Rhinolophus ferrumequinum: one gene and its partners. The protein of the gene in region 3 purifies or fractionates together with the protein of the main gene of each other region. This does not show direct contact. Links are inferred from orthologs where the notes say so. Each region holds a gene or a part of one and is shown on either strand. Other genes may lie near its edges.

The links. The genes of interacting proteins can lie anywhere in the genome.
Region 1: the proteins of VAPA (region 3) and RAB3GAP1 purify together in Homo sapiens (affinity purification with mass spectrometry; 4 studies listed by BioGRID and IntAct, counting the BioPlex papers as one, with this or other methods). This does not show direct contact. The link is inferred for Rhinolophus ferrumequinum from reciprocal best matches to the Homo sapiens genes VAPA and RAB3GAP1.
Region 2: the proteins of VAPA (region 3) and RASSF1 purify together in Homo sapiens (co-immunoprecipitation; 3 studies listed by BioGRID and IntAct, counting the BioPlex papers as one, with this or other methods). This does not show direct contact. The link is inferred for Rhinolophus ferrumequinum from reciprocal best matches to the Homo sapiens genes VAPA and RASSF1.

The regions. Positions count from the first base shown.
Region 1 is NC_046291.1:83,103,908-83,111,841, forward strand, and holds the start of RAB3GAP1 (rab3 GTPase-activating protein catalytic subunit), read right to left. Parts: upstream 3,056-7,934; 5' UTR 3,007-3,055; coding exon 2,989-3,006; intron 2,889-2,988; exon of another isoform or gene 2,887-2,888; coding exon 2,831-2,886; intron 1-2,830. UniProt on the Homo sapiens protein: Catalytic subunit of the Rab3 GTPase-activating (Rab3GAP) complex composed of RAB3GAP1 and RAB3GAP2, which has GTPase-activating protein (GAP) activity towards various Rab3 subfamily members (RAB3A, RAB3B, RAB3C and RAB3D), RAB5A and RAB43, and guanine nucleotide exchange factor (GEF) activity towards RAB18.
Region 2 is NC_046300.1:6,259,696-6,267,412, reverse strand, and holds the start of RASSF1 (ras association domain-containing protein 1), read right to left. Parts: upstream 3,056-7,717; 5' UTR 2,901-3,055; coding exon 2,651-2,900; intron 1,794-2,650; exon of another isoform or gene 1,691-1,793; intron 753-1,690; coding exon 646-752; intron 205-645; exon of another isoform or gene 73-204; coding exon of another isoform or gene 1-72. Other genes in the region: ZMYND10 (zinc finger MYND domain-containing protein 10), read right to left, coding at 3,509-3,584, 3,676-3,801, 3,917-4,038, 4,121-4,246, 4,487-4,659, 4,999-5,099, 5,192-5,280, 5,355-5,492 and 4 more. UniProt on the Homo sapiens protein: Potential tumor suppressor. Required for death receptor-dependent apoptosis. Mediates activation of STK3/MST2 and STK4/MST1 during Fas-induced apoptosis by preventing their dephosphorylation.
Region 3 is NC_046302.1:8,139,267-8,146,901, forward strand, and holds the start of VAPA (vesicle-associated membrane protein-associated protein A), read right to left. Parts: upstream 3,005-7,635; 5' UTR 2,364-3,004; coding exon 2,285-2,363; intron 1-2,284. UniProt on the Homo sapiens protein: Endoplasmic reticulum (ER)-anchored protein that mediates the formation of contact sites between the ER and endosomes via interaction with FFAT motif-containing proteins such as STARD3 or WDR44.

The DNA of each region.
Region 1 (7,934 bases), on a different chromosome or scaffold from region 3:
TAAAGGCCATCTGAGGAAATAAGGAAATGCTCATAGTAAATGAAAAAATGAAAACTATAGAAATAAGTATTAATATGGTTTGATACAACAAGTTTATAACACGCACAGATTAGCAGGAATTTTCTAAAACATATTAACAGTAGCTATCTCTTGGTGGTAGGCTTACAGGTGATTTTTCTTTCTAATTCTACTATGAGGTATTATAATAAAAATAATTTAAAATAATAAAATTTTCGCAGCAAAAGAAGAACACCTTAAAATACTTATTGCAAGAATTCTATCAGTACTAGCTAAAACAGAAAAATTGGACTGTATCCCGCAAGTATTGAGAAAGTATAGAAAAATTTTATAACTTTATGCCTGAAAGCTCCAGATTTCAGCTGAAGGGTCAGTTCCTTTGATTCCTCATTCTATAGTAAGTTCCTTGGTTATATGCTCTTGTAAGTCCAGGCTTATTCCCCTTCTCAGCTCTTATTTCAATCGCAATTATAGACTCATTTCCATTACCATTTAATTCATATCTGTCTCTTCCACTAGACGGTATATTCAGTAAAAGCCAGGCATCATCTGTTTTTACTGATCACCACATCCCTAACGCCCTGAATTGTGCTTGCAACATGGGCACTCAGTATTTTTCAATGGACAAATGATAAACAGTGAAGGGCTTCTATTCAGTCCTCTCAATAAATTGTATGGCTCATAACATACTGACGAGAACTTTCATTCAAACATTAAACTCAAAGTTTAAGAGACTCCAAAGTTTTAACACCATCCCATGAACTGTAAAAACACTAGTTTCATTCTAGAAACAAGAGCATAAAAGTCAAAAACCAAATTTCCTACTTTGTGGTAGTACTCATAACTGTGTTCACAAGTATTTCCATATAAGGAGCTAAAGGATTTAATATTCTACTTTAGGATATTTTAAATGTTTAGCTGGGGGAAGTGATCATTTTTCCATTCAGTACTCTGATGTTCCTCACCCCACTCCCAACCTCCAAGATTCAGGTTACAGTTTTCTACCTTAAAGACATCAAGTTATTATTTCACATCCAATACGTCTAAAATTGCATTCTTCTCACTTTGCCACTTCATTTTCATTCTTTCAGGAAAGAAACTGCAGTTCCATGTTTGATTCCTTCTCGTTTTACATTTCATCAAGTGTATCTATCTAAATTCTTTGAAATGTCTTACAATCCTCCCTCCTTTTTATTCTTTCTCTCCAGTCTCCAAATCACCAACCTAACTATGGATCAAATAAGTCACTTGCCTTAATTATACCTCTGAATTTTATCCCCTGAAACAAGTCTCATCATATCACTTTGCCACTAAAATCAAGGGTGTCTCACTATTGTTCTTAATGGTTCTGCTAAACTATGGTCTCCTGACAAGCAAACATCAGCGTCCCCTTGGTGAGAACTTGTTAAAAATGCAAAATCTGGGCTCTCAGACATAATCAGAAACTACGATTCTGATGCACACTAAAGACTGAGAATCACTGGTCTTAAAGCACCGAATCTAGAGATTCCTTTACTCAGTTAGCTTTGAAGGCTGTCTATAACCTGGTCCTATCTTCATTAATCTTATTTCCCTTGAGCAGATAAAAACTTTCACTCCAATAAAGCATTTCTTCATGAAGTCCCAAAGGTTCCTTTTCACCTGTCTCTACTCATGTCAGTACCTTCTCATGTCTACCCACACCACTTCCCACTTCCAAGGCCCAGTTCATTTTCTATCTTTTCTATGAAAGTATCTCCAACAACTGTAATTCACAATAATATCATGCTTATTGAAACCAATATTTTTATAGCTAGTGCTAGCTGGGTTACCATGTAATTACTTGCTATTTTGTTTTGTTTTTTTAAAATATGGATCAAGGATTTTCTGTTCTGGTCCATTACTATAATTCTGGACACATAGTACCTGTTCAACAAAGCCCTGCCAGGGTGGTTACGCCTCCTTACTGACTTTTCTTCTCTGGAAGGTACCACAGGTGAAACTATTATTCCAGCAGGGATCTTTCACATTTTCCTGAGTCATCTAACGACATGACATCGACAAATTTCCTCTCCCCAAACAGAAAGATTATAAAATGTTGCAACAAGCTAACTACGAATCTCAAAACCCAGAAAACCGAAGGGTCTCTGTGACACCCAACAGGACACTTCTAAGTTACCACTCCTCCACAAACTTGACTTTCAATTAATTTCAGAGATACATTTCACTCAGCTGTTCAATGGACCATGACAGGCACGCGGAAGCCTGGGCACATTACCCACTGAAATGTAACCACTTGAATTAAGGCGTTCCAAAGCCACAGGCAGACTATTTTAAAAAGTTATCCTGAAAGACAGGATGGAGACAGTGGGAGTGTGGCAGACGGACGACCACCAGAAGTTCGCTGAAGGCCTCCTCCTAAAAAGGGTACATCAATGTTACATAAGAGGGAAACAGAGCAGCTGCGAAATTTACTGCTTACGATAACAAATGAGTAAACGTAAATGAAAACAGGACGTCAGTGTTACCCACAGAAATTGTTTCTGCGGGTGGGCAACAACCAATGTCTAAGGAAAGCGGCCTGAGAGGAAAACAAAACTTTTTCTGACAGTCGGATCTTAAGGGCTCAGCTGACGGGGGCGGGGCGGGATTTGCCAGACGCGAGACGCGGAAGAGGCTTCCTGCGGCCCCGAGAAAGGAGAAGGCGGAGACCCGGGGGCCCTGCAGTCTTAGTACTCTCAAAGACGTGGCGTCACGTGTGGTTTGTCTGAGGTGGAGAAGCCGCGGAGGGACGCCAGGGCCCACAGTACTGCTAACTAATGATACGACTCACCTTTCCCATTCGGAGGCAGTGGTAAAGTCCGTGATCTCAAATACCTCGGACTCGGGCTACGGGAGCGGAAAGGATAAAAAAAAAGAGATTGAGGGCCGGGGCGCTGATGCAGAGGAGCGAACTTAGAAATAGGTATAGATAGAAAGTAAACACCTCACCTCACTGTCAGCCGCCATCTTGAAGAACGCCGGCGAGCGCTAGGGATGTTGGGAAGAAGAGCGGGAGGGCAAGGGGAGGAGGAAAAGAAGGGAGGAGAGTGGGCGGGGCTTGCGAAAAGCCCCGCCCTCTGAAGCGCAGCGGTCTGTTAGTGAGTCTTTAGAAAAAGTCTTCACAGGCTAAAATAATTAGGTTTTTATAAAATGCTTTGAACTTGAAATTTTCCTGTAAAGGAATGAATTCAGGAAGGGAACAGAAGCAAAGATAAAACAAGGCTGTAGATATCCATGGATGAGATTGAATTAAAAAGCCTAAGGCAAAAGAATGGAATCTTGCCATTTGTGACTACATGGATGGATCTAGAGGGTATTATGCTGAATGAAATAAGTCAGGCAGAGGAAGATAATCATGATTCCACTTATACGTGGAATCTAGAAGCAAAACGAGCAAACTAAAACAGAATCATAGAAGGGTGGCCTACTGGCCCAGTTGGTTAGAGTGCAAGTGCTGAACAGCAGGTTTGAGGGTTCAATCCCACATGGGACAGGGAGCTGTGCCCTCCACAAGTAGATTGAAGGACAACTACTTGGAGCTGATGGGCCCTGGGGAAACACACTTGTTCACCAATATTCCCCCAATAAAAACAAAAACAAACAGAATCATAGAAACAGAGACCAAGGGGATGGTTGGTTACCAGAAGGGAGGTGGAGGGGAATGGGTGAAAAGGGGGAGAGGAATATAGTCGACAGTATTAAGTTTACACAATGACAGATGATTACGAGAATTTTTGGGGTGATCACATGTAAGGTATAAAAATGTCAAATCACTATATTGTATACTCGAAACTAATATAACTAATATAAGATTGTATACCAACTATATTTAGAATAAATAAATAAATAAAAAAGAACTAAAGTACATTGAGTTTGTTTTCATTCATCCTCTTTTTATTGATTGCAGAGCACTAAGCTAGGTGCTGTAACACCCTCCCCCAACCGCGTCCCCTCTAAGAATTTACAGGGTGATTAATCCAGGAAATAAAAATCACCGTGCTAGGGACCTGGTTTCTGAGAAGAGCAACATGCTATTCAATGAACACTTCCCTTTTTTAAGCCATTGAGGAACAGAAGGGGTTTTAGGTACCATTTAATAATTCTATCTCATACATACTGACGTACTCACAAATAAAATGATACCATGCCCAGGATTTGCTTGAATATGGGAACTCAGGGTCTAGTAGGGAAACTGGAAATGTGCTGCACAAAGAGAAAGAAGAGGTGCTACATGTGTCAGCGTCACTATTAGCAACGTGGAGGTTAATTAATGATAATCTTGACAAGAAGAATCTTGGAGGATAAGAAGCGGGCAGCCAGGTTGAGGGTAGGGAAGGCTTATAAGCGGAGGGAATAGCACGTCTAGAGGCTCCAAGGCAGGAAAGTCTGATCTGTCTAAAGAACCAAAGAAGAGCACCTAGAGGGTAGTGTTGGGGATGAAGTTAGAGAGGTAGGTATGACCAGATCATATAGGACCTTCCAGGCCAGGGTTGGACTTTATTTGAAGCACAATGGAAGCCACTAAAATGTTTTAAGAGAGTGATGTGATCCAATTTACATCTTGTAATAGCCTGGATGCTATATGAATAGATTGGGGGGTGGGTAGGACAAAAGAAGTAGCAATAGCTGGTGATTATTAAAGCATCTAGTGAAGATGGTGTAGAGACTTTGATTAGGGTGGTCGGCAGACCAGGTGAACTTATGTGATATGTATTTTGGAGATAACAATAGATAGACCGGACTTGATGATGAATCACATGCAGGGATAAGGGAAAGGAAGGAATAAAACATAAATTTCTGGTTTCTAGCCTAAGCAACTCTATGAGGATGATGCTGTGTCCTGAGATGAGTAAGATGGGAAGGAGCAGGGAAACTCTGGTTTGACAAGTGTAAAGTCTGACAGGCTTGTAAGACATTCCAGGAAAGTTGTCAAGGAGAAGGTTGGGTATAAGAATAGAACTTTGTGAAGATATAAATTTGGGAGTATTTTAAAAAACAAGAATAGATGGTATGATTTAAAAAGAGACTATAGAAAGAGAATTAAAGAAGCCTCATATAAAGGCCTGAAGAAATTTCGTACTTAGAGATGGATAAAGAAAAAGTATTCGGTGAAAGAGACAGAAAAGGACTGGCTAGAGAATTAGGAAAATAAGGAAAGTGATGGCACAAAAACCATGAAAGGAGAATGTTTCAAGATGGTAAATATTGATTGCTGCTGAAAAATCAAGTGAGAGAGGAATAAAGGGTGGAGGGTGATTGATTGTTTTTGTTTCTTGGGTTTTTTGTTTGTCTTTAAGGCAGAAGATAGTACAGTTAACCCTCAAATAACATGGGTTTGAACTGCCCAGATCCACTTACACGCAGATTTTTTTCAACACTGTCAGGCCTTTGTATCGCGGATTTCACATCTGCATTAAACTAACTATGGATGGAAAACAGCATTTTCGCTTTCCCAACCAGATTCCCAACTGTGGATCGAAAATACTGTTTTCCATCCCTGGTTGGTAGAATCTGAGGATGTAAAAAGCTGACTGTAGAGTCAAAAGTTATACTCGGATTTTCGGATTTTCAACTGTGCTGGGATTGGGGTACCCCGCCTCCCCCACCTACCCCACCCCACCCCACCCCACCCCCGCTGCGTGTTCAAGGGTCATTGTGTTCGTATGCTGATAATAATAATCTAGGCGAGAGAGACTGATGGTGAAGGGGAGATGGAAGAGATGGAGTTCTTGATAACGTGAGAGGAGGAAATCCAGAGGTGGCACCATTCACACTGCATTCTGAAGTCTTGCTTCACGAGGTACCACCCACAGAGATCACCTGGAGCTGTACAGCAAGGTGGTACCAGGAATTCAGAGCAGATGTAGCGGGAGGAAATGAAGTGATATGTGGGAAGTTGGCTTTCTTTGAGAAGGGAAACAAGGGATGAAAAAGACGGATACAAACATAAACATCTGAAGATTTGTGCATATAAAAGGAAAAGAGTTACTTGTTCACTTAACTTTTCAAGTCTCACCAAATGAAATAAGTCTGTAGGTTTTAAGGTCAGGTAAATCCACGTTTAGCCATTTATTAATTATATGACTGAGCAAATTACTTAACTGCTCTAAACCTCAGTTTCTTCATTAGTAAAATGGGGCTAGTGATACTTCTTACTCCATGGGCTTGTGGCAAAGATCAAGTTACATATGTACATCTGTAAAATGGTTAGCACATATCCTGGAATGTAGTAGGTAACCAATTATGGTAGTAGCATTTATAATAAATGTGCTATGAAAACCACATTACCAGAGGAGAAAGGGTCTGGGGGAAGATTGAAGAGAGTAAAGAGGGTCAAATATATGGTAATGGAAGGAGACTAAACTTTGAGTGATGAGCACACAATGCAATATGCAGATGATGTACTATAGTAGTATACACTTGAAATCTATATAATCTTATTAACCAATGTCATGCCAATAAATTTAATTAAAAAAAACGACAACCATAAATGCTACTCACATGTAAGGAATTACTTTTTTTTTTTCTCCTTGCTTAGCCATGAAGTTTCTGGACATACCAAAATCAGAAACAAAAAAAATCACAAAGCCTTTGCTGCATAAAGTTAAATTTTAGAAACTGTATGAAACAGCCTTATCAGGTTGCTAGGTAAAGTTTTCTTCCAAGATATTTTTGGCTCCTTGTCTTCTCCTGGGAGAAACTTTTAAAGTAAGTTATTTGTTAAAGCGAAGCGTGAAGCCAGCATGCTAATGATGTAAAGTACCCAGGGGAGACACACTTTTATTAGATTTTCACTAGTTCACAAAGCAGAAAAGATTTTGTTTCTTCTGCATTAAGGGTTATTTTGCTACACATGCAATGGCAAGGGCTTTTCCATGCAAGGGCATTTTCTCTTTGGCATAATTTTCAGTTATGTCAAGGTGTTACCAATAATGGCGATGGGGAGAATTTTGACGCATAGGCAATTTAAGAAATCAGAAGCCTGGAAAAATCACCCGTGGCTTAGTCCTCAGAGGAATGTGGGAAACTAACAGTTTAATTAGGTCTTCGTAAGAGAGCAAACATTGTTTGTGAGAGGAGCAACAACAGTGGTACTACACCATCCTCATCTACCTCGATGGTCTCTGTGCAGAGAGAATCAGGAATTTTCTATGTCGCTGCCCTGAGAACAATTGCAATAGAAGGTAGAGCTGGAAGGGGAAGACATGCTGTGAGAACAAGAAACTCTTTAGAGAGGCATTCTTTAAATAAAAATTATCCAACGGCATTTATTCATTCATTCGGTAATACTTATTAAGTATTTACTGTCATGGCACTGTGGTCAATCCTATGGAGGGATTCAAAAAATAATCCTTGCCCTCAAAGCGCTCACAGTCTGAGCTAAGACATAAAGAACTATAATATGGTTTAGAAAGGGAGTCATGATGGTTATCCAACTTCTTAAAACTCTTCGTAAAATCAGTTGGTAGGAAAACATTCAAGTGACCTTTCAGAACACACACACACACACACACACACACACACACACAAAATATCTTATATTCTAATTAATTAGTCCACTATTTTTTGAACTAGAAAAAGGTATAGTCAACAAGGCAAGGAATCTCCAGAAAATTTCAAGAAAAGTGATACAGTCTTCATATACCCACCATTCAGTAGTCACTTTTTTCATTCAATAAACATTTGTTAAAAGCAGCTGGTATGTGCCTGTTCTAGAAACTGGGAAATAAAAATATAAAAACAAAGTTTCAAGTATAAAGTAATTGAAGATCTTCCAGATGATAATAATAAATCAAGAGCAGCTAGTTCCAATTCTTATGTTTGTAATTTAACTTGTCTGATAGATTCAGAAAAGACAGTACTTGCTGGCAGGTTGATTTATTTTGTCCATGTTT
Region 2 (7,717 bases), on a different chromosome or scaffold from region 3:
GCAGTAGCCACTGCTTGTTGTGCTGCTCCAGGTCATCTCGAAAGACGGCGTCCCCGCGTCCGCCTCGCCCATCGCCGCGCCCGCCCGCCAACTTCCAGAGCCCGGTGCGCCGGTAGCCTACCACCACCGCCCCAGGCGCGCGTGCGCGGGCGCGTTTCTCCGTGTGCGCGTGCGCTGGGGCCAGTGCCCGCACCACGACCGTTAGCACGGAAACATAGCCCGCAGAGTCTAGCTCTGGTCTCATTGGAGGAGGAACTTCGAGGGGCGGGGCCACACGCGCATCGCCTCCGGGAATGATCTCAGCGCCCAGGCAGCTCAACTCAGCTCCACCCGCAGGCCCCACCTCCCCAAGGGACCACGTCGGAGCGTGTGCGCATGTGCACCAGCGTGGCTGCAGGACCGGATGCGGAAAGGTGCGGAAGTTGCGCGGGCGCAGAGCCTGGGCGATTGTGGCAGTCCGCACGAAGGCGGCACCCTCGGCACCCCTTCGAGCCCGCGCGCGCAGAGTTAGCCACTCTCCGCCGCGGGAAAATCTGCTGTCAGAACGCCCATTGCGCGTAACGCCGGGAGGGCCAAAGCATTGCAATGCGGCCCGCTAGTCTACGCGTCCCTGTCTCGCCCGTTCGCCGTCGGCCCCGCACTTACCACGTTCGTGTCCCGCTCCAGCGCCGGTTCCCAGCCCAGGTCCCGGGGCCCGCAGCAGTCCAGGCAGACGAGCGCGCGGCAACGGTAGTGGCAGGTGAACTTGCAATCTGTAGAGAGGCCTGGCCGTGAGACGGAGGAGCGCCAGCCTGGCGATGCGTCCCGGGGACGGAAGAGAAGCCCCGGGGTGAAGGCCATTGACCACCGGGCTCTGCATGACCGGCCATTTCAGGCCCCGTTACCGCCCACTGCCACACAGATTCTAGTGTTGGTCCCCGGCGTCCGGAAACGGGCAGGAAGGCATCGGGCTGTTAGGGAATCCAGGCCTGCTCTAGCGCCTAGCGCAGAACGTCCCCCTTCCACATTGTCAGCCCCCTCCCAGTGCCCTTGAAGGGGAAAATAGTTTTAATCCACGGCCCCCTCCAGTCATCTGTCTCAACTCCCCTCACACTAAAGCTTATCAACACTGATCTACATGCACTGTAATTTTTTGCCTTCACTCTTCTCTACCTATTCCAGTAGGGCTTGCCCCTCCCTCCAGGAAACTGTCCTGGTCTCGGTCCCTCAGCAACAGGCTCAAAGCCGATTCCGGTGGTCCCTTCTCTATCCTCACCTCAAAATCTGATGCTGCTCCCCTTGGTTCTCATGGACCCCCATGACCCCGATTTTCCCTCCTACTTCCCTGCAGCTCCTCTTGGTTCTGTCTCAATTCCCAGATCTAATGGCAGGCAGTGTCACAGAGGCTCAGTCTTGATCGCTTCTCTGCTCTGTGTACACTCACCCAGGATCCAAGGCTTCCATCAGTGGCCTCCCTCTCAGATCAACTCCTATGTGTCAGTACCTTCACTTCGATGTCTAATAGACATTTCAGTTCAACATGGCCAAAATTGAACTCACTTTTTTTCCACTTCTCCTTACCCTCACCAGAGTTCCTTGTCTCAGCAAAAGTTGCTACTATTCTCCCAGTTGTTTGAGGCAAACAAAACAACAAAAACCCAAAGCCAAATTTGTCCTTTATTCCTCCCCCGTTTCTGCCTCTGACACATACCCAAATTGTCCTGTTTTTCATCTCCATGGCCACTTTATTCCTGCTGGCGAACACTGCAGTGTCCCAGCCCTTATTCATGCCTTGTATTCTGCCACATCTCCGGTGTCCCCCAGCTGAATTCAGGACAGAGTCCTGTACTGGATGAGAGGGTCTCCATGCACACACAGACAGGCCTGGGACACCTTCCCTAAGTTCTTAAATGGGCCAGAGCAGTGATTCTCAACCCAGGCTGCACATTAGAAAGATGTTTTTAAAAATCCCTGATAAACTCCCAGTGATTGATTAAACAGGTCTGAGGTAGGGGCCAGGCATAGGGATTTGGAGGGCTGTACAAGCATCCCAAATGATTTTAGTTCGCAGATAGCCAGTGGGAGAGCAACTTCTGCTTGCTGTTGATTACCAGGAGGGCAGAAGGGCTGCTGGTGTGTGGGTGTCTGGGTCTCACGTTTTAGCACCTAATTGACAGGGTCTGTGATACATAATTGCTATCATCAAAATTCCTGCTTGCAGGGGGCCCGCCCAAGGTTCTAACTTTTCCCAAGCCCCCTCCCATAGGTGCGAAAATTCCCTTCACCCCAGGGATTCTGGAAGGGGACATTGGTGAGTGAACCTTTGGGAAGAGTCAGTCCTGGGAATATGGACTCAGAGACTGGTAGGCACAAAGCCTTTCTCAAGAAGGGCCAAGGCATTTTAAAGGTAAGAAACTTGAAATCAGCACCTTATTATTTACAGACAACTGCCTCTACCCAACTGTGCCCCAGACACGGGGGGCGCAGCAAGGATATAAAACATGTGCCTACACTCTCTTCCAAAATGGGGCAAAGGTAACGGACCTGGTCCTCAGGGACTGTCCCCACCGACCCTCCCCCACCCACACACACACACAACTTGAACTGCAGCGACGGTGCTGCCCCTTGACCACCCATTTCGCTCTCGCCAGCGCGTGGGGCCGCTACTCACGCGCGCACTGCAGGCCCTTGCGCACGACGCCCCAGATGAAGTCGCCGCAGAGGTCGCACCACGTGTGCGTGGTGGGCCCCGCAGGCTGGAAGCGGTGACCTCGGCCCGGGACCGGCTGCCTTGCCGGATTGCGCGCTGTGCCAGGCGCGATGCGCAGCGCGTTGGCACGCTCCAGCCGGGTGCGACCCGGGCGGGCGCGCCCCACCGGTGCCAGTTCCCGCAGTTCAATGAGCTCAGGATCAGCGGACATGGCCCGGTCGGCCCAGGCTCCGGCCGGCTCTGGGCGCGAACGAGCGCGGGGCCGGTAGGACCGCGGGGCGGGCCCCGATGCGGCGCCGCCCCTGAGATCCAGGCAGAGCGGTGGGCGAGAGCCGAGGAGAGCAGCTCAGTAGAAACCGGGGTGCCCAGACTGTGTCGGCCCGCAGGCAGAGTGGGGCCGCGGTGGACTCTCGCGGTGTCCCCGCCCTCCTTTCCTTCCCTCCCTTCATCCCACGAGCAACTCTCCTCCCCCTAACGACGACGACCGCAAAGGGCCACGCGGAGACAGGCGTGTTTCTGGAAGCCAGCTTTACTGTGCAAGAGGAAGAGGGTCCCCACATCCGGCCCCCGCCCTTGTCCCTCCTCCCCCCAGGCCTCCTGCCCCAGCTGAGGCAGCGCCCTAAGCCTACCCGCTGGGTGCGGCAGGAAGCGGGGAGCGCTTTGCTGGGGAAGATGGGGCAGCAGCTCCAGCCCGCCTGCTGGGCTCACCACCTGGGAAATTGGGGCTCTTGCAGAAGCCAGGCGGAAATGCTGAGGTTCAGGGGCACATTCTAGCTGGGGTGTATGGAATGGGTGGCCCGCTCTCAGGAGCTGCAGTCTTCACTTTGCTCTGTCACCTTGGGCTGCCAGGACACAAGCCTTTCCATGCTTCGCCCAGTGCTTGACTTGGCACTCCCTGCAGGCAAGTGGGCCTGTGAGGATGCAGCGCTTGTGGAGGGTGTGGAAGTGTGGCTTAGGGACCCGCTAAGGTCCCAGGATACCCTCACCTGCAGCAATACCACTCATTCTGGCACCGTGAACAGCGCTTCGAGGCCTCCGCACTGCAGTAGGCACAGCGGGGCCGCTCTGGAGCCACTGCCTCTAGCACATCCAGCCTGTAGGTCTCAGCCCACCTGGGAAAAGGGTCAGGGAGGGCTGGCTGGGCCTCATGGGTGGGGGCACAGGAGCATCCCTGCCTACGTCCATGCCTTCTGCATCCCTCCCAGCACTCAGCTCAGCAGGCCTCACCTTCGGGCTTGCAGCCGCAGGTCCTGCTCTGAGGGGCTGAACATCTGCTGCAGTTGGTGCTTGGCAATAGCCTGCCACTTACCTCTGTTTTCCTGCTGTAGGCGCTCCCAAATTCCTGGGATCTGGGGGAAGGAAGGAGAGCATGGCAGGGAGGAGCTGGCAAAGTGGGCAGTGGTCCTGAGCAAATAACTGCCTAGTACCTACCTGCTCTAACACCAGATCCTTCTTAGGGGGCTGGGGTTCAGCCAGGGCCAGCTGGGCCAGGAAACCCTGTAGGTCTGCCAGGTTGGGCAGCTGGTCCAGCAGTGTGTCTGTGAGGAAGGCCCGAAGCTGAAAGGGTGTCAAGGAGAAGCCAGTGTGAAGTGGTGCTGACCAGAGGGTCAAAGGACAGAGAAGGCCTAGGCTGGGCTGAGGGTTCCTGCAGGGCCCACGTCCCACTGGCTGCTGTGTTACCTGAGGCCCAACGTCTGGAAACAGGACTGGGGCTGAGGGAGGTGGGCAAAGATAAGCAGCAGTGATGGGCTGAGACAGTGCTAGGACTGTGGGGACAGTATGGGAGGAGGTCCCCACCTTGAGTAGCTGTCCCTTGACAAAGCTCGTGATGCAGTAGCGGGCTCGGGCCTCAGGGCTCAGCAGCAGGTTGTACAGGGCAATCCACACCTGCCCGTCCAATTTGCTCAGCTTTTGCTGTTCTGAGGGGGCCACTGTCTGCCAACGGCCACCCTCAAATTGCTGCAGCTTGCCTGGGGGGGAGAGGAACCAGCATATTGGGTGCAGGCGTTGCAGGCTCCTTGAGAGAGTGGCTGCGTGGGTTGGGGAACAGACCATTGCCTGGCACAGGTCTTGACCAGATTGTGATGCTGCTTGCTCCAGAGCATGGTGAAGCCTCAGTAGTGGACACATGGGCCTCGCCTGCTGCAGAGCCCAGGTCGAGGCCCACTCTGGGTGAGGCATCCTGGTATCCTCTGTGGGCTAGGGGGCAGAGTTTGTCTGCCTGTGTTCAAACTGCCAACTCCCATCAATCCTGGAGGCTGTCCTGGAAGCAGTGAGCTGGGGCTTAGGCAGGGGGAGGAGGCTCTTACCTCCTTCCCGCCGGCTCCAGGGACTGTGCTCCAGCAGTTCCACCAGGAGGCAGGGCAGGTTGTGGGTGCTGAGCATGTGGCTCAGGGTGCTCAGAGAAAGGCTAGGGGCGAGGGTAGAGAGAGGTGAGCAGAGGCGACAGGCCCAGGCTCCCAGCCCTGCACTGCAGACCCTAGGCCGGGCAGGCCAGCACACCTGTCCACGCAATCTGTGATGTAGCGCAGCACGGAGAGCGCCTTCAGTGTGATCTCAAATTCCATCAGCTCTGCCTGCTTCTGCAGCTCCTGGGGAGCACATGTGCTCGTGGCTGGGGGAGCCTGGGTCTAGCCCTTGACAACCCCAGGGAACCTCAGCCCACCTGCATGGGGGTGCTGTACTGGGACTCCTCCCTCTCAGGGGGGCCTCCATGGCCACTCCGGGCCACCAACAGAGTCAGTTTGCGGTGGCAGTAGTCCACCAGGTCCAAGACCGTGTCCTCTGCCGACTCACACACCTCCTGGGGGTAAGCGGAGGGGAAATATTCTGTCTCTGAAGCCCCCTCCCCACAGATACACCCCTCTTGCCGCCAGGCCCTGGCCTGGGGAGTAGCCAGTGGTGGGCAGGACTGGCGGCTCACCTTGTGGAAGAACACTGTCTCCAGGAGGTTGATGATGGAGGCCTCATGGTGTACCTGGCAGATAAAAAGGAGAACAGGGTCCGAGGATGCTGATGGAGGGACAGGGGCTACCACTCCCCTCTCTAGTCCAGGGCTCTCTGAAGGGGTGAGCGGGGTATGAAGCAGGAGTCCAGCTCACCACCATGTATATGGGAAAAGTGTTCTGGGGCTCGAAGTCTTCCAGCCTGCACAGCACAGGGAACACCTTCTGCTTCCACATCTCCACTGCGATGAGCTCCTCCACCAGCGTTGGGATCTTTGGGGCGGGGTGAAGGACAGGGATGAGGTGGGCCTGCCTTGGCCTGGCAACCCTCCCATTCCTGGCTCAGCCCATCCCAGCTCTCCTCAAACTCCCCGGTGCCCCTAGACTCTCCTACGCTCCAGGAGTACCTTCTCAACTTCTCTCCTGCACCTTGACCTTCATTTCCCGTTGCCCCCGACATCTCTGTGGGGGCATCTCCTGTGCTCCCTGTGACTGGCCCTTGCCGTCTCTCCATGCTGCCTTGCTCCGCCTGTACATGTGCCTTTGTCCGCTCCTACCCCATCCAGGTAGCCCCCAGCCCTCCTGCTCATGCCCTCCCTTTTGTCCCTGTCCTCTGGCCTGCCAATGTTCTGGTGTGCCTTGGCCTGGCTCTTACCCAGGGCCCTATTCCTACCTCCTACCCGACCTCCCAGTAGGGGGCTCCACCTTTTCCTTGCAGGGGAACTCTTCTGTCAAGTGATATCTCAGGTCATCTCCTGATGCCACCTCCAGGCTCATGTTCCAACCGAGCCAATCCCTGGTTTCTAACTCCCTCTGTCTCATATTGGGAAGGCTGCCTCCTTCCATGCCAAAGTTCCACCCGCACTTCAGTGGGGGCCCCCTCCAGCCTGACAGTCCTTTCAGGAATGTCTTTAGAACTTGGTCCCTTCCCCTGCAGCCTACGCTATTCTAGGGTCCATGAGTATCTCCCTCGTCAGCCATGCTCTGCACCCGGCCTGGCTCGCCAGGGGTGCAAAATCTAATGTGTAACACACTCTTCCTCCTTCTTTGGGGAGGACAGGTGTACCAGCTAGAGGGAAGAGCAGGCACCCAGGGTATTCCTGAGGGGTAGAGTGGTAGGGTGGGGGGAAGGCAGGAACCCTGCCAGTGACCCCAGCCTACCTTCCTATGTGTGACCAGCAGCTCCTGGATGGGCTCACCCTGGCTGGCGGTGGCATCAAGGATGGCCTGCATGTTCAGCTTCTCCAGGTTCTCATGCTGCTGGTTCCACCTGCCCCAGAGGATGTGTGTGCATACATTTAGGTGCACATGTGTACAGTATTGAATGGGGTGAGGGCTGGGTTCCATTGAAGCTTAACCTGGTCCTGAGACCCCAGAGGTGGCTCAGTGCCGTATACATCAATTTCAGATAGCTTTACCTCCTCACCTGCGGGCCCCTCCACACTGGGCAACCCCTGCCCCCACTGTCAGGACTCCCCCCACTCAAGGACTGACTGCCTGACTCCGCTCGACCCTCGATCCAGCTGCCTCACCCTCCGGAGCCTATCTCGCGCAGCGGGAACCTGCGCAGTCCCCGCACCACCACATCAGCCTCTCCCGGCAGCAGCAGCTCCAGGTCACCCATGTCAGGGCCGGGGACAGAGAGCGGAAAGGCGGGGTTCGGCTGACTCCGGGCAGCGGCCGGCGCTGAGGTGGGGGTGCCGACACACTCGAGGACAACGGTGTTGCGCGGGGCGAAAGTCTGGGACCCGAGAGTTGCAGAGCGGTTGCGGCGCGTGGGTACTCGCCGCCTTGGCAACGGCTACCTCGGCGCTTGCGCAATATGGCTTGGGTCCGCCCCTGGCCGCCGCCGGCGCCGGGTCGGCACTACCGGGTTCGCCCCGGGAGGGTAGCAACTCTTCCGACTCCTGGAGCTTTCTCCCTCACAACCAGCTGCGGCTCGCCGGTCTCCCGAGTGCTAGACTCCTGGGGCCCAGGCGCTCTCTTCGGACGGAGGCCACGCCGCCCCGCCCTCCACCAGCTCTTCCAGCAGCCGTTCCTCCCCGGCCCACACCATTGCTCCTCCGCGGGGCTTCCTCGCTCC
Region 3 (7,635 bases):
CGCACTGGAATACAGAGAGGATTCCGTCAAAGCTAAGTACTTACTTTTGACTAAAAGAATAACATTAAGGAGGAAGAAACCAAATACCACCAAGTGTCACCTAATTCATCCTATCCCTCCTCTTTCCCAATCCTCCCCATTACCCCACCTGTAAACAGAAACACACAGCAAACCCCTGGGTATCTAAGTATAAGCCCTACATTCTCTCACATCTGCGGTAGAACAAACCACACTACTCCCTTGCCCAACCCTTTCCCCCGCTCCTCAACGGAAAACAAGCTTCTTCCCAGAATGCTTCCTTAAGGAAAGAGAGGGCAGGGAGCAAGGAGCTTCTTGCCTCATACACACTTGTTTTGCCTCTGACATAACATCTATATGCCTTTGATGTCTCCCTTCAGCTGATACCTGCTGAATGAATTACTCATTGCTTAAATACTCTGAATACAGGGACAGCAACAAGCTTTCAGTAAGTGTCTGCCAAATAAATGACCCAACTGAATGTGTCCCTATAAACTTTTCAATGAAACACTTTTTCAGTCAATTTTAAAAGGTAGTCATTGATGTCCAAATTTTTAAAAATGGGCCTTGTGAATTACTTTCATCCACAGCACTAGAACAGCCTATTCTATACTCATAGCTAGTAATTCTTCAATATATAAAATAAGTAAAATATACGGATGTCATTGTGTAATGTTTTTGGTTAACTTGCTTCTCTATTATAAGTCTCTTACTATGGCAACATTACAACTTCTCTAGGGAAAAAGCTTCAAACTTTCGGTATTTCCTGGCCTAAACCTAGTTAAAAAGGCTTCCAAGTCCCTAACAGCAAAACACACACGGTTATCCAATAAAGGAAATTTCCTCTATAAACTCAGCCTGTCAAAGAGTAAAAGCAAAATACTTAAATTCTGGAAAGAATACACACCATAAAGGTTTACACTAAATTCCTCCAATCTAAAATAACGACTATTTGAATTAGGTAATTTCATAATTACCCACAGGCTTTTCTTTTTCTTCCAGTTAAAACTATGTGTAATCATGCCCCACGCACCAACTTGAAACGTAAAATGCACTTAGTGCCCGTCAAGGTATTTCGTAGTTGTCTTAAAACCAATCCTGACCTAACAAGCAGCTCACTTACGTTTCCATTCAAAGATACTTACAAATGCACTAAAAAGCTTGCAAAATAAAGGAATTATATAATACTACTCTAACATAATGCCAGAATACACTCTTTTAAAATTCCTAAAACTATTTACAACTTTTCTTATGAAAAATATAATTGTGCTGAGTGACACCTTATCACCCTTATCAGGCGTTTGTTGAAAAACCGCAAACGTAAAGGCAAAAGTCACAAACACTTAAGATTCCGCAGCAAAAAAAAGCTAAATGAAAGGACTAAACAGGAGCAAATACCAGGTCTGCTCTACGCGGAAGGTAAGCTGAAATGTCCTATCGGAGGACCAGGAAGACGTCTCCTATTAACTTACTATCAATTCTCGGGCTGACGCAGAGCTTTCCTGCCCGCACGCGCTTGGGTCTCTGCCAATACAACCGGGTAAGTCATAACCAGAAGACTTCGTGGGCTTCTCCGCCTCCCTAGCGCTCGATGTACCTGACAGCCGACTTACAAACTGGGCAAAAAGGCAGGGAGCAAAACCCTCGGCGTGGGCCGAGGGCGGGCTCCACCCAGCCCGTCCTCAGAAGGCGGACTGAGGCAGCGGAGGCCGAGGAGTGGTTCTCTCTCGGAACCGAGTCCAGGGGCTGCCGCGCCACTGGCTCGCCGCGCCTCGCCTCCCAGCGCCTGTGACAGCCCGCGCGGGAGACCGCGGCCCTTGCGCCAGCCCCAGAGCCCCCCTTTCCCCCGCAGACCAGAGCGTAAGCTCGAAGGTCACCGCCCACCCACGCCCTCCCAGACAACGCCCGACGGCCCTCCAGGACTAAGGACAAGTGCCAGACGCGGGCAGCAGCGCGGGCAGCACCAAGAGGCGCCCCCGCGGGACCGCAAGATGGCGGCGGCGGCGCCAGGGCCTGGCCCCTCCGCCTCGCCCGGGCTGGCGCGCGCACCGAGGCGCGAGCGGCCGAGCGAAGGACTGGGCCCGGCTGCGGAGCAGGCAGGCCAAGGGCCGGAGCGAGGCGCCGCGGGAGAACGAGAGTGCTGGGGCGTGGGGGAGGGGACGCTCAACTAAGGCCCCGGCCTCCGACCTTCCCTCCACACCCACCGCCCGCCCCGAATCAAGCCCTCCGCCCGCCCCACCCCAGTCAGGGGCTGCCTTTTTCCTACCTTTGAATTTGAGGTCTGTGGGCGGGTCCAGGACCAGGATCTGCTCGTGCTTCGCCATGGCCCCAGAGGCGGACGCCATCGGAGACAGCGCAGAGCGGGGGCGCGCCCGCGGCGGCGGTTTGCTGGCTGGAGGCGGGGGACGACGGTGGCGCCGGCTCACCCGAGCTCTGTGATGGGGCCAGCGCACGGCTCCCGCACCCCGACGCTTGCCGTTCTGTCGCCGGGTCGGTAGGCCTCCCGCTGGGTCAGCAGCTTCGGATCTCACAACTGACTCAACCTCACACCAGCCGTCGCGGCCACGCGCACTGCGATCCTCGGCACCCCACGTGACAGCTTTTGCGTGCCTACGTGCGCGCCCCGGGAGCCAGGACTCCCTAGCACTCGTCCCGCCCTCGAGTCCTGCCCTAAGAGGCGCGGGCTGTTGCGCCTGCGCACTCCCGGCCTCGTCGGCGCCCGGAGCATAGCCCAGCTGTCAAGGGAACGGGTGTGGAGAGGGGCGGAACCAAGTTCCGTGGAACTAATGCGGTTTGCACTGCCAGGCAGGCGGGCACAGTGCTCGTTCACGCTTAGCTGCTATTACAAAACTGGAGAACCCGTTGTGGTAGTGCATCACCATCTCCCAAACGGGAATACCTAACGGAAGGAAGGAGTAGTCAGACTCACTCACCACAACTCCCAGCATGCTTTGTGCGGAGGGCGGAGCCGCTGCCTACGGCCTGTTCCTTTTGCGGCACTGCGCGATGCTTGCTGGGAATTGTAGTAGTGGCTGTTCGTGGACGGGAAGGAGAGTAAGGTCTCTTGGAGGCCAATGGGCTTGGGCGTGCTGACACTCTTTTTGGCTCTCCGATGGCCTCTCGTCTGCGCTAAAAAGAAAACAAAAACTTTTGGAGACTGACCTGAGGTCCCCTGGTTAGAAATAAAAATATTCTCTTTGGAAAACATGCCGGGATTTGTCGGTTTTCTCTCAAATCCTACCCGATCCTCTATTAGTAGAGGTAAATTCTGTGTCGTATTCCAATCCAATCTCTTCTGCTTCCTGAATACTCCAGTGATGCAAAAGCAGATGAGGAAACGAACCTCATTTTAAAAGCAAACGCGTCGTTGGGGAAATCTGACAACGCACACGTATAAAGCTAAAAATAAAGTCAAAATCTACAGCGTTCAGTTGCTGTAGTCAATTCATCAGTTTTGATTAATGGTAGACCCAAACCAAAACAATTGTCACGTTAACATACAGGAAATGAATTCCATCTGCATCATTTACGGTGGCATGTAGCAAACTGAGCCAAATTAGAAAAATCTCAGTAGCAAAGTTGCTGACAAATCTTTAACCGATTGCCAAGGTAATGGGGATAAAATCATTAAATGAAACAAATAAATGTGCTATAAATAAACCTACTTGAGTTTAAATTCCTAGGAAGTACCACGAAACAAAAGACATACTGATGTTACTACCATGAAAGAGCAGCCCAGGTAGTCTAGAAAATAAATGAGAGACAAATGGGAACAGTAGTGGAGGCGTAGGCACAAAGTCCAAGTTTTCAGGTGCAATCCATGTATCAGAGCCCATGTGGGAATAGCTCTCTGGACTACATAGCCTAGCATTCACAGAAGATTGTGCTACACAAGAGGAATGTATCTTCAGTCATGAAAAATCTCAGAAGATAGGAGTGCTTAAGTAGTTTGAAAAGCATATTCTAAATTTACCTTTCCTTTGATTTCTATTTATTAACAAAATTTATTTTAAATGTCAATTACCATTAAAGGAGAATACAAAAATTGTATGTTTACCAAAAGGGGGGGGGGGGGCTTAGAGCTTTAAAAAAAAAAAAAGTCGAGGTTGACATTCACTCCACAAGATAGTGTTCCACATAATTTTAGTTATGAACTGACAGCCCTAAAACTGACACAAACTCCAATTTTTTGCTTGCCTAAGATGTCTTATCCATGGGCAAGTTAGCCGTGGCTGAAGTGGTTCCTCCACAGCGAGAATGACACTTCTCTTACCAGAAAGCATATGAATCCCCACTGTGCAAACAACCAATTAGAAGGTATAGCATGCTGAGGAAGTTCCCAGTCACTCCCCTATGGGACAATGGCTGCCCATTCACCAAGAGTTCAATAGGAAGCCAGAATTGGATGTATTCCAGTTTCCCAGTCTGTATCATTAAGAAACCTCTGCCCATTTAAGTCATCATCTTTGGAATCAACTGTTTTTCTCTTCTCGATATTGCTTCAAAAATCATATAGTACAATCTTAAAATCTATAGGAATTTAAATATACGGTAATCTATTTCAGTGGTTTGTGCTTGTATATTTATCAATACCTTTCTCAAACAGTTCAAAGAACTTTACAAACATCATCATACACTACTCAGAACAACTTTATAACAGTTAACAAGTGTTAATTTATTGTTAAATATGAAAATGAAAACACAGGTGAGAGCATCTCACGTCAGTAATGGAGCTAAACTATGGAAAGTTACCTAATTTTTCATTCTGTGCATTTTTGCTCTTCTCAGTCACAATAAAATGACAACCAAGAGTAATTAAAGCAACCATTTAAAATGTAATTGACTTATCTAAGGTTTAACACTTAAGCTAGGAATGGAAAGATATATAGCCTAATGTTCATTACTCTTTTTACATTGATTAACGCAGCTCTCCTGAGATATTAGCAAAATATATCCAAACGTATTTCTCTAGCTCTCAAGCTTTCCTGAGTATAAGAGGTGTGAAGACCTTGAATATTACTTCGACCTACTTGAATTACTAATAATATTCACCTTTGGACAGATTATCTCATGGGTTTGGCAAGGATTAAAAAAAAAAACTACCAGTTTCCAGTACAAATGCTATTAACAATGTATACCATCTTCTCCATAGTTAAACATGTTAAACTTTAGAGGAGTTCTATAATTCTGAATATGTTTATGATCAATTTTCTGCATAATTCAATTCAGTAAACATTTAAATGGGCACGTTTTCAATAAATATTAAAGCAGTAAAATGTATTGAATAAGAGTACAGGCTTTGGATCTGAACTGGTGGGTTCAAGTCCTGTTCTGCTCTATGTGGTCTTAGCAACTTACTTGAACTCTTTGTACCTGTTCTACATTGGTAAATTGGGGAGAATGATAATACCTATATCTGAGGTTTGTTATGATAATTAAATGAGTTATTACACATGAAGAGCTTAGAATACTGCCTGATTCCAGGACCGTTTCCTTATTAATGTTAAATGTTAAATTATTGCTGTGTGCTGGGCACAGTGGTAGGTTATACAGTGATGAGCCAATGGACATGGTCTCTGCCCTTACAGGCTTATATTCAGGCAGGAGAGACAAACATGAATGCCCATTTGCAGCTAGGATTCTGTTCTTGAAATAAGTTCAACTAGTGAAGTACACTCATGTGATAGCGGAAAGTTAGAACTGAGATGGAGGCCAGCTTTTTGCACCTTCTGGCTATTTTTCTGCTGAAGCAAGAGCACAGAGACTTGAGGCTTTTTGCCTAGCATTCCAGTGCCCATGTACCAGCTTCCTGGATGTCAAGACACAGTTAATTGTTGCAGGGTCAGCAGAAGAAGTAGTTCCTTCCTGAGTCCAGCTTCCTGATCCCTGGGTCAGAGGTAAGAGGGGCAGCCTCAGAGGCAGCAGCTGCCCTGATGGGGCAGTTTATTCTTGCCCTGGGAGTTATTCTTCATCTAGAGCCTGCTCCTCCACCCTTCCCCAAAATTTTATTAGCACTTAATTCCCTTTATTGTGTTGCTTCCTGCTTCGGATTTTAGAGTGCTGCAGAGAGTCAGGTGTCATGGAAGCCAAGAATGGATCAAGAAGGTCAATAGCGTAAAAATCTGCTGAATTGTTAACTATAAGGTGAGGACTAGAAAACTTTCACTTGACAGAGTAACATGATGCTGCAGGTAAAATATGAATGAAACAGAATCACTGCACACGAAGAGCTCTTTCTAAAACTGATACATATGCTTTAGAGCGATAACCAACAGAAATATGCATAAGGTCAACAAGTATCACAGAGACGCAATGCTTGTATAAATGTGGATATGTTGGTGGGGCTTATTGTAGCATATATGTCAAACTTCTGTGAGAAATATAGGTTCCAAGAGAAGGCCGATGGAAGCTGCACCAGATCAAATCAAGTCTGGAAAAAGAAGAATTAGGAAAAAGACTTACCCTGGGACTTTTCTTTGTATGACAGCTTAAAGCAGTTAAAACTATATGATTAAGCATCTTTGTATATGAAAAATAATTTGAATAATATGTGTTTTTTCAATTAATCTTTTATACTGTAAAAGCAATATGTCCTTATTGTAACAAGTGGCACAATCCAAAAGCAAATGAATAAAGTTGCCTCGTACACCTCCAATTTCCACTCCCCGGAGGTAATCAGTGCTAACTGCTTGGATTGTGTATCACTCCCCAACTTTATCCATACTTATAAAAACATAGCTAGTTTGGTTTGGGGGCTTTTGTTTTGTTTTGTTTTACAAGAATTCTAACATATTACTTCACAATTGCTTTATTCACCTAACAGTGTATTCTGGATATCTGACAAGGTCGACTGGCATCAAACTCAGTCTTTTAACAGCTGAATACAGAGAATAGATTCTGAATCCAGAAAATACCCATCTATGGTACCATTTGTTCCCTATTGATGAATGTGTAAATTGTTCTAGGCTTTTGTCACAACTAATAGCACGGCAATAAACATCCTTATACACATTTCCTTATTACAGAATGCTTTTATTTCCACAGGGAGATTCCCAGTGATGCAACCACTCTATCAGTGACATTTCCTATTTCAATACATACTACATACTGTTTATCCAAAGGGTTGTTGTAGTTTATACTTCTATCAGGAATGTATGAAGGTGGCCATCTCTCCCATTTTCACCAAGTGCTAGATCCCACCCCATACCAGCAACAGAAGAAGGGCTGCGTATAAGTATCCAAAATTGTTTGGGTCAATAGTGTTGGCCTCCAAAATTGTACATTTTCATTGAATCCATCCTTATTCTTTGAACCCATCTTCTCCTCTTGATATTCCATTTTTCTTCTCTGGACTACATAGATTACAGCACCTGTAAGCTAAACAGATTCACTGCAGTTAATAATGTGTTTTCTCCCACAAATACAGTTATTCTTAAAGGAAACCAAAGGTGCTTATGAACATTAAATACACATTTGACTCCCTGCCTGACTTCTCATAGTCTCTGAACATACAGGCTTCTTTGTATAGCCCTGACAAAACCTAGAGTAGATGTGGGTGAAGAACACAGATTTGGACATCAGGCAGACTGGACTTCAGTCTCCATCACTTTTTGCCCA